Cricetulus griseus: one gene and its partner. The main gene of each other region encodes a partner of the protein of the gene in region 2 in a complex. Links are inferred from orthologs where the notes say so. Each region holds a gene or a part of one and is shown on either strand. Other genes may lie near its edges.

The links. Proteins that work in one complex are often made in the same cells at the same time.
Region 1: the proteins of Ywhab (region 2) and Mlxipl are in contact, whole or in part, in a crystal structure (PDB 6YGJ), measured with the Homo sapiens proteins. The link is inferred for Cricetulus griseus from reciprocal best matches to the Homo sapiens genes YWHAB and MLXIPL. Residues at the interface, in NP_003395.1 of Homo sapiens: Gly55, Arg58, Ser59, Trp61, Arg62, Ser65, Ser66, Gln69, Lys70, Arg129, Val178, Tyr181, Glu182, Asn185, Leu218, Gln221, Leu222, Asp225, Asn226, Leu229, Trp230; in NP_116569.1 of Homo sapiens: Asp118, Ile120, Arg121, Asn124, Ala125, Trp127, Arg128, Ala129, Trp130, Tyr131, Ile132, Tyr134.

The regions. Positions count from the first base shown.
Region 1 is NC_048597.1:114,201,675-114,205,326, forward strand, and holds part of Mlxipl (carbohydrate-responsive element-binding protein), read left to right. Parts: intron 1-1,934; coding exon 1,935-2,101; intron 2,102-3,652. UniProt on the Homo sapiens protein: Binds DNA as a heterodimer with MLX/TCFL4 and activates transcription. Binds to the canonical E box sequence 5'-CACGTG-3'. Plays a role in transcriptional activation of glycolytic target genes. Involved in glucose-responsive gene regulation.
Region 2 is NC_048599.1:15,508,037-15,511,688, reverse strand, and holds part of Ywhab (14-3-3 protein beta/alpha), read left to right. Parts: intron 1-807; 5' UTR 808-809; coding exon 810-1,109; intron 1,110-3,204; coding exon 3,205-3,328; intron 3,329-3,652. UniProt on the Homo sapiens protein: Adapter protein implicated in the regulation of a large spectrum of both general and specialized signaling pathways. Binds to a large number of partners, usually by recognition of a phosphoserine or phosphothreonine motif.

The DNA of each region.
Region 1 (3,652 bases), on a different chromosome or scaffold from region 2:
CGGGGCAAGCATGGCTCTACTGGAGCAGGTGGTTACAACGACCCTCTGGAGTTGGCCATGCTCGGAGAAAGCCTTGAGCCACCAGGGTTTCCATTCCGTCCTTGTTCTGGAAACCCTGTTGAAGGGGCTGGGGAAGGGCAGGTGTAGGGACAGAGAGTGTGGCTGGTTAGTTTGGGACCAGGCCAGGGAAGAGCTGGGGCTTGATGGGAGACTCTGGAGACTACTGGGAACAGGTGCGAACAACTCAAGGGGTAGCAGGCTGCTTTGGCATGATGGGTTTGGCACAGGACTATGCTTTAATTTGGGGCTTTATGTGGCCTGCTGACCAGGCCATGGTCCTTGGAGGACAGGGGTGGGATTCTGGTGACCATTTTCTGGTCCCTCCCCAGGTCCCTTTGTACAAAGTAGGGGCCCAGGACAGCGTAAAACTACTTCTGATACTGGAAGAGATGTGGACATGGCAGGTGTGTCATCATCGGTCACACACTAGGGACAGACATCCAGAGAGGTAGGCAGGTGCTTCGTGTCACTGTATATTGATACTCAGAACCTGTTTGGTCTTTCTGCCCAGGTAGAATCACCTAAGATAAACACGCACACATATACACACACACCATGCACAACACATATGCGTGCTCGTACACATATTCATACCCACACATCACCTCATACATAGGTGCTTATGTACACACATGTACACACATGCACACATATGCATATATACAGAACTACCATGCTCATACACATGGACAAACATATAAGTATACACACATGTACACCAGGCAACATACATACATATGCCAGATACATGCTTACATATGTAGAGGCCTACATGTATACATACTTGCATACACACATGTACACAGCATACATGCACACTTTCATACACACACACACATGCTCTCAGACTTGCATATACATGTTATACTCCCCTATGTACTCTCAACATGGGTATATATGCAAATACACATACAATATAGACATATTCACACAAATATACATACCACATAGACAGACAGACATGCATACCCTGACTCTATGACTTTCCCTAACTCACTCAGAAGGTCTGACAAGCTCTCCTGGATTGGGATTCTGGAGGGGAATTGGGGGGCCGCAGCCCACCAAACCCTGTGGGGGAGCTACCATGGTGGGGACTGCTGTGTCTCAGGAGGCCTTGGGCATAGAATTTGTGCTGGTCAGGGTCAGAGAAAGGTGCCCGGAAGGGAGAGGGTAGGCGGGTGTCGCCTCAGCCCGGGATGTGGTTAGGCCATGAGCAGCCTGCTTCCCAAAACCAGAATAGCCCAGAACTTACACAACCCACACCCCTAAACAATCTGGCTGCCTTGCCCGCCTCTTCTGTAAGCTTCACAGATTTCCTGGCTCCCTATTGCTCACACAGCAACCCTGAGCCCACTCTGTGTCCCCCAAATGTCAGCCTAGGCTCCAATCTCACAGTGTCAACTTACTGATCTTTCAGCAAGTCTAACCCATGCCTGACCCACTGACCTCATGAACCTGCTCACCCTTGATTCATCCCTGACGCACTCAGGCAACTCCCCTGGACCCCACCTTTTTCCTTCCCAGAACCTCTCTGTGACCCCTTCTTTCTAGAATGCCAACAGTGCTAAAAAATTAAAAAAAAAAAAAAGGAGCAGACGCAGGGAGGGAAAATGAGTCAAGAGTGGGGTGCCATGGGTGGGCAGCTTCCTGGGGTCCCTGCTCACTCACTCCCAGACCCCACCATCTCTCCCAGGACCTTCTTCCCAGTCTCTAGTGCAGCTTCCCCCAGTGGGACAGAAACCATTTCAATCTCATGGAAGCTTTCCACCTCCACTGGTCCCTGTCCCACTTCTGCCCAGCTCGGGGACCACCATATCAAAAGGCCTATCTTGAGTCCTTAATGTCATTTGCTACCCTGTGTGTTCCAATTACAGATTTCTTCACCAACTACCGCCCCCCGCAGATGCCCACATCTTCGAACTTCCTGGAGCCACCCAGCTTTGGCCCCATGGCTGACTCCCTCTTCAGCAGTGGGATCCTGGGCCCAGAGATGCCATCTCCAGCCTCCTCTTCCTCCTCCCCAGGGACTACCCGCCTACAGGTGAGTGTATCCTGTTATGAGAAGCCTGCCTAGATGGGACAGGAATGTGTGCATGGAAGGAGGATGGGAGTGTGTGTTTAGGCAACTAAGTTGGCATCTTATTTCTAGAACACCTGTACCTGGTTCAGAAGTCATTACCCTGCAACTGTTAGGGTCCTGTTCCAGTTTCATTTCTGTTGTTATGCTAAAATACATTGAGGAAAAGCAAGTTAGAAAGAGAAAAGGGGTTTCTTTCAGCTAACAGCCCCAGGTTACATACAGTCCACCAGTGTGGGGAAGTCAAGGCGGGAACTTCAGTCACACCACATCTACAGTCAAGAGCAGAGAAGAACAATTGCCGGCATGCTCGCCTGCTTACTCATGTTCAGCTCCATTTCTTTTCTCTGACACAGTTCAGGATCCCCTGCCTAGGGAATGGTGCCACCCACAGTGGGCTGGGTCTTTCCATATCATGGAATCCCCAATAGACATGCCCACAGGCCAACCCAATGTTGGTGGCTCCTCGCTGAGACTCTTCCCAGGTGGTCCTAGGTTGTTGACAGTTAATACTAACCACCCCAGTGTCCTTTTCTCCTATCATGGAACTTTTCACATGCTTTTGTAGTTTATTGTGAGAGGTCTCTTTCCTCCGATGGGCTTGGTGGGGCTGTTTTGGCCACCACTACATTCCTTGTACCTAGTGGTTTCCACACACAGAGTGTCATTCAATAAATGGTTGCCTGGTGAGTGAGTGAATGAGAACACAGTAAATGGAGAGACCATTATAGCCAGTGGTGTCTGCATATGAGGATTAGTGGATGTAAAGTAAAAGGGTCTGGTGAGTAGCTGGGCTGATGGGTGGATTCCCACGTAAGTAGTTTAGTAGATTGATTGAATGAACCATGGGCTGGCGCTACATGGCTTTGTGAATGGATGAATGATTTGTTACATCAGTGGGTGGTGAATGTATAGATGGGGTGTGGATGGGTTGATGGGAGAATAAAGAGTTTAGACGGTTGGATCTGTTGGTAAATGGCTGACTACCTGTGGGCTAGAGTGGTAGTTAGTCTCTCATCACTGCTACACCTAGGAAAACAACCTCAGGGAAAGAGGTATTTTGCTCATGGATTCAGAGGCTTGAGTCTATCATGGGGGAGGAGGTGAAACAGCAGAGAAGCTAGGAAGTAAAGACAGAGAGACGGGTGCTGGGGAGGAAGGGTGCCTTCACTAGATGACTTCAACCACCACGTGCCATGTATTCATCTGAACTCCCAAATGATCAACTTCGTCCACGGTGTGCTCCCCACCCCAATCAATGAACTTACATCCACAGTGTGCCCCCCACCCCAAACAATGAACTTACATCCACAGTGTGCCCCCCACCCCAATCAATGAACTTACATCCACGGTGTGCCCCCCACCCCAAACAATGAACTTACATCCACGGTGTGCCCCCCACCCCAATCAATGAACTTACATCCACGGTGTGCCCCCCACCCCAAACAATGAACTTACATCCACGGTGTGCTCCCCACCCCAATCAATGAACTTACATCCACAGTGTGCCCCCCA
Region 2 (3,652 bases):
AGCCATCTCTCCAACCCCAAACTGAGGTTGCGTTTTAAAAGTTAACATGTATGTAGTTTAAACTTAAAAAAAAAAAAAAAAGTTGTTGAGGGTACTGTCAAGATGGCTTAGCAGGAAAGGGAGATTGTTGCCAAACTTGAGTTCAATCCCTGAAACCCATATGGTGCAGAGAGAGAACCAGCTCCAACAATTGCCCTCTCTTCTTCATACGTGTCCATGTGTGCACTCTTCCATGTGCATGAACATGGAAATGTCTAAAAGCAAGTAGTTTCTCAGCAGTTTCTGTGTATCGGGGAGGATGGTAGGATAATGGAACAAGCAAGTTATAGAAAGAAGAGACAGGCAAGCTGAAAGCCTTAACTCTTATTTGCGGTGGTATTCTGGGTCCATTATTTTCTCTCTTAATATTTATGTGTTTTTTTTAAGATTTTTTTTATTTATTTATTATGCATACAACATTCTGCTTCCATATATATATCTGCACACCAGAAGAGGGCACCAGATCTCATAACAGATGGTTGTGAGCCACCATGTGGTTGCTGGGAATTGAACTCAGGACCTCTGGAAGAGCAGTCAGTGCTCTTAACCGCTGAGCCATCTCTCCAGCCCCAATATTTATGTTTTCTAAGAAGGTGGAAGGGTTATTGGGAATATTCCATGTAGGATTGTTGGTAACAAAGGCCTCAGCCCAGTCCTGACTGTAGATATTCAGTACATGATCCACATTCTTGATGGCATTGGGGGCTGTGCTTCTGAGTATGCTGGTAGCCTGACATTGCTTTCTCTGTGCTCTTGCTGCTGTTCTAGGAATGACCATGGACAAAAGTGAGCTGGTACAGAAAGCCAAACTTGCTGAGCAAGCTGAGCGCTACGATGATATGGCTGCAGCTATGAAGGCTGTAACAGAACAGGGACATGAACTCTCCAATGAAGAGAGAAATCTACTCTCTGTTGCCTACAAGAATGTGGTAGGTGCCCGCCGTTCTTCCTGGCGTGTTATCTCCAGCATCGAACAGAAAACAGAGAGGAATGAGAAGAAGCAACAGATGGGCAAAGAGTACCGTGAGAAGATAGAGGCTGAGCTGCAGGACATCTGCAATGACGTACTGGTGAGGGCTGCACTTGTGCTTTTCACACTCATCCTAGGCATCATGGTCCAGATACAAACTCAAACAACTTAGGAAAGAGTGAAAGCCATTTGTAACTTGATCTAAAGAATATGATATAATTTTTATCATCCTTTCTGATCAGTTGATCATTTCTGGGATGTTTTCCTTCTCCTCTCAAAAAGGCTTGCAACAAACATAACATTTCATCAACATTCCTCCATTTTTCTTTAGAAATGAGGCCAGATGGAGAGGTTAGTTAGAAAGATGCAGTCACGAGTGGGTTGCTCTAGGGAGTGAATCGTCTCTGGAAAGGAAGAGATGGAAAGGCCTTTCAGCCTCTCCTTGGTCCTGCCCTCACAAAGTGTAGCAATCTGATGTTGAAGGTTTGGCACATTCTGTCAACTGCAATGTACAGTCCAAAGCCAAACCAAAGGTGGTATGGGGCTTTTCCCGTGTGTTATGTATACTATAGTCAGGTGTAGTTCCTTCTAACTACATGTGGGCTTGGGTGGGAGGGTTGCCAGTCCTAAAACACTTAATGATTATATTCTTTCGCTCATATCTGGAGCACACTGGGAATTTTATTTCCTATGTGAAATCAGGTAAAACTTAACTATGAGGGCTGCTTTAAAGGGAAAGGGATTAACACTTGTTGATTTCCTTCCTGCCCTACTCTCTGTCTTCCCAGATTACCTCCCTTGACATCTTCTTTTGAAAACCAATATAAAGCTTGTCAGCTGTCATGCGCATTCTTCACCCTTAACCCACGGGGTTACGCCCTTCTGCACAGTACTTTAAAACAGCTACTACCTCTTGCATACTTTGACATTGATTAATGAAATCCTTGGTAGCTGAGCTGTGCTTTGAGCCTTTCTCTTTATTAGATTCTTAGTGTAAGATAAAAGTTTCATGGCTAAACTTTTTGCCTGTCGATTGTTTGGGGGTTTGTTAATGGTGCACTAATTCCTGAATGTTAGGTACATCTGGTATTCAGATGAAGTATGGCTTGCATTCCAAAGGCAAGAGAGTTCCATAATTCCTGAATTGTAGACCAGCTTTTAAGAGCATCTGAAAGAGTATGAAGAAGAGCATGGTACTTACTGCCTCTTAACCAGTTTTTCAGGATGCCACATTCTAAAACAACTCTTCGAAAATATTGCTCTGTATACGAAGCTTGGACTCCTTCAGAACTACTTTTGTTGTAAGCATAAATGTTTAAAGGAATTTGTTATTAATAATAGTACTAGACTCTCTGAGTGCTTACTACGTGCCAAGCAACGTGTTAAGCACTAGATGTTACCTCGCTTGTCCTTATAACTACCTTAGAAGGTGGCCATGCTGGTCCCCTTGCCCCTCCCCGCTGTACAACCAAGGAATCTGAGGCTTGGGGTCCTCAGCCTCCTCTCCAGGTCATGTGGAAACAAACAGTAAGCATCAGAAGAAGGTTTTCTTCCCAGGTCAGATCAATTTTAAACTGAGTTCTTGCTGTTTTGTTCTATTGCTGCTTTTTTTTTCCCTTCCCAGAATAGAAAGACACACACACACTCAAAATTACAGAAGTAATAAAAGTTTAAATGGGGGGGGGGGGAGTTTGTTTGTTTCTACAAGATGGACAGAAGAGTTAAGAACTAAAAGTCACTTCTAATGCTATTATCCAGAGAAGCATTGTTCCTAGAATCCTCCAAGGCTTCCCCACATTTTTGTGTGCATGTACCCATGCTTATTTTAATACTAAAGTGAGATTCTTTTGTTGATAGTCTTTTCCAGCTAGATTTGTGTGAGCAATGCAGTTCTGTGCCATCCTTTTTATATCGCATCCCATTGTAGTAGCTGCATTATAGCCAGCCCTTACGGTGGTCAGAGGACTTGTAAGTGAAGGGTACAGGCTTCTGCTCTTAGGACTTGGCTAAACGGTATTTAGTAGCTTGGATGAAAGTTGGTTAGGTTTTTCTGTTTGTTGGTTTAGGGGGTTTTTTTGTTGTTGTTTTTAGTCTTCAGAAAAATCAGTAGTAGTAGTAGTGCATATCTTGAATCGCAAATGTAATTTTAACATCTCAGAAACAATTCAAAATTCTTAATGTGAATCACTTTTTAGGAGCTGTTGGACAAATATCTCATTCCCAATGCTACACAGCCAGAAAGCAAGGTGTTCTACTTGAAAATGAAAGGAGACTATTTTAGGTATCTTTCTGAGGTTGCATCTGGAGACAATAAACAAAGTAAGTAATGTTTTTAAGAAATAGTAGGAGGGGGGCTGGAGAGCTGGCTCAGAGGTTAAGAGCAGTGGCTGCTCTTCTAGAGGTCCTGAGTTCAATTCCCAGCAACCACATGGTGGCTCACAACCATCTGTTATGAGATCTGGTGCCCTCTTTTGGTGTGCAGATATGTATATGGAAGCAGAATGTTGTATGCATAATATAAAATCTTTAAAAAAGAGAGAGAGAGCTGGGCAGTGGTGGCACACACCTTTAATCCCAGCACTGGGGAGGCAGAGGTAGGTGGATCTCTGTGAGTTCGAGACCGGCCTGGTCTACGAGAGCTAG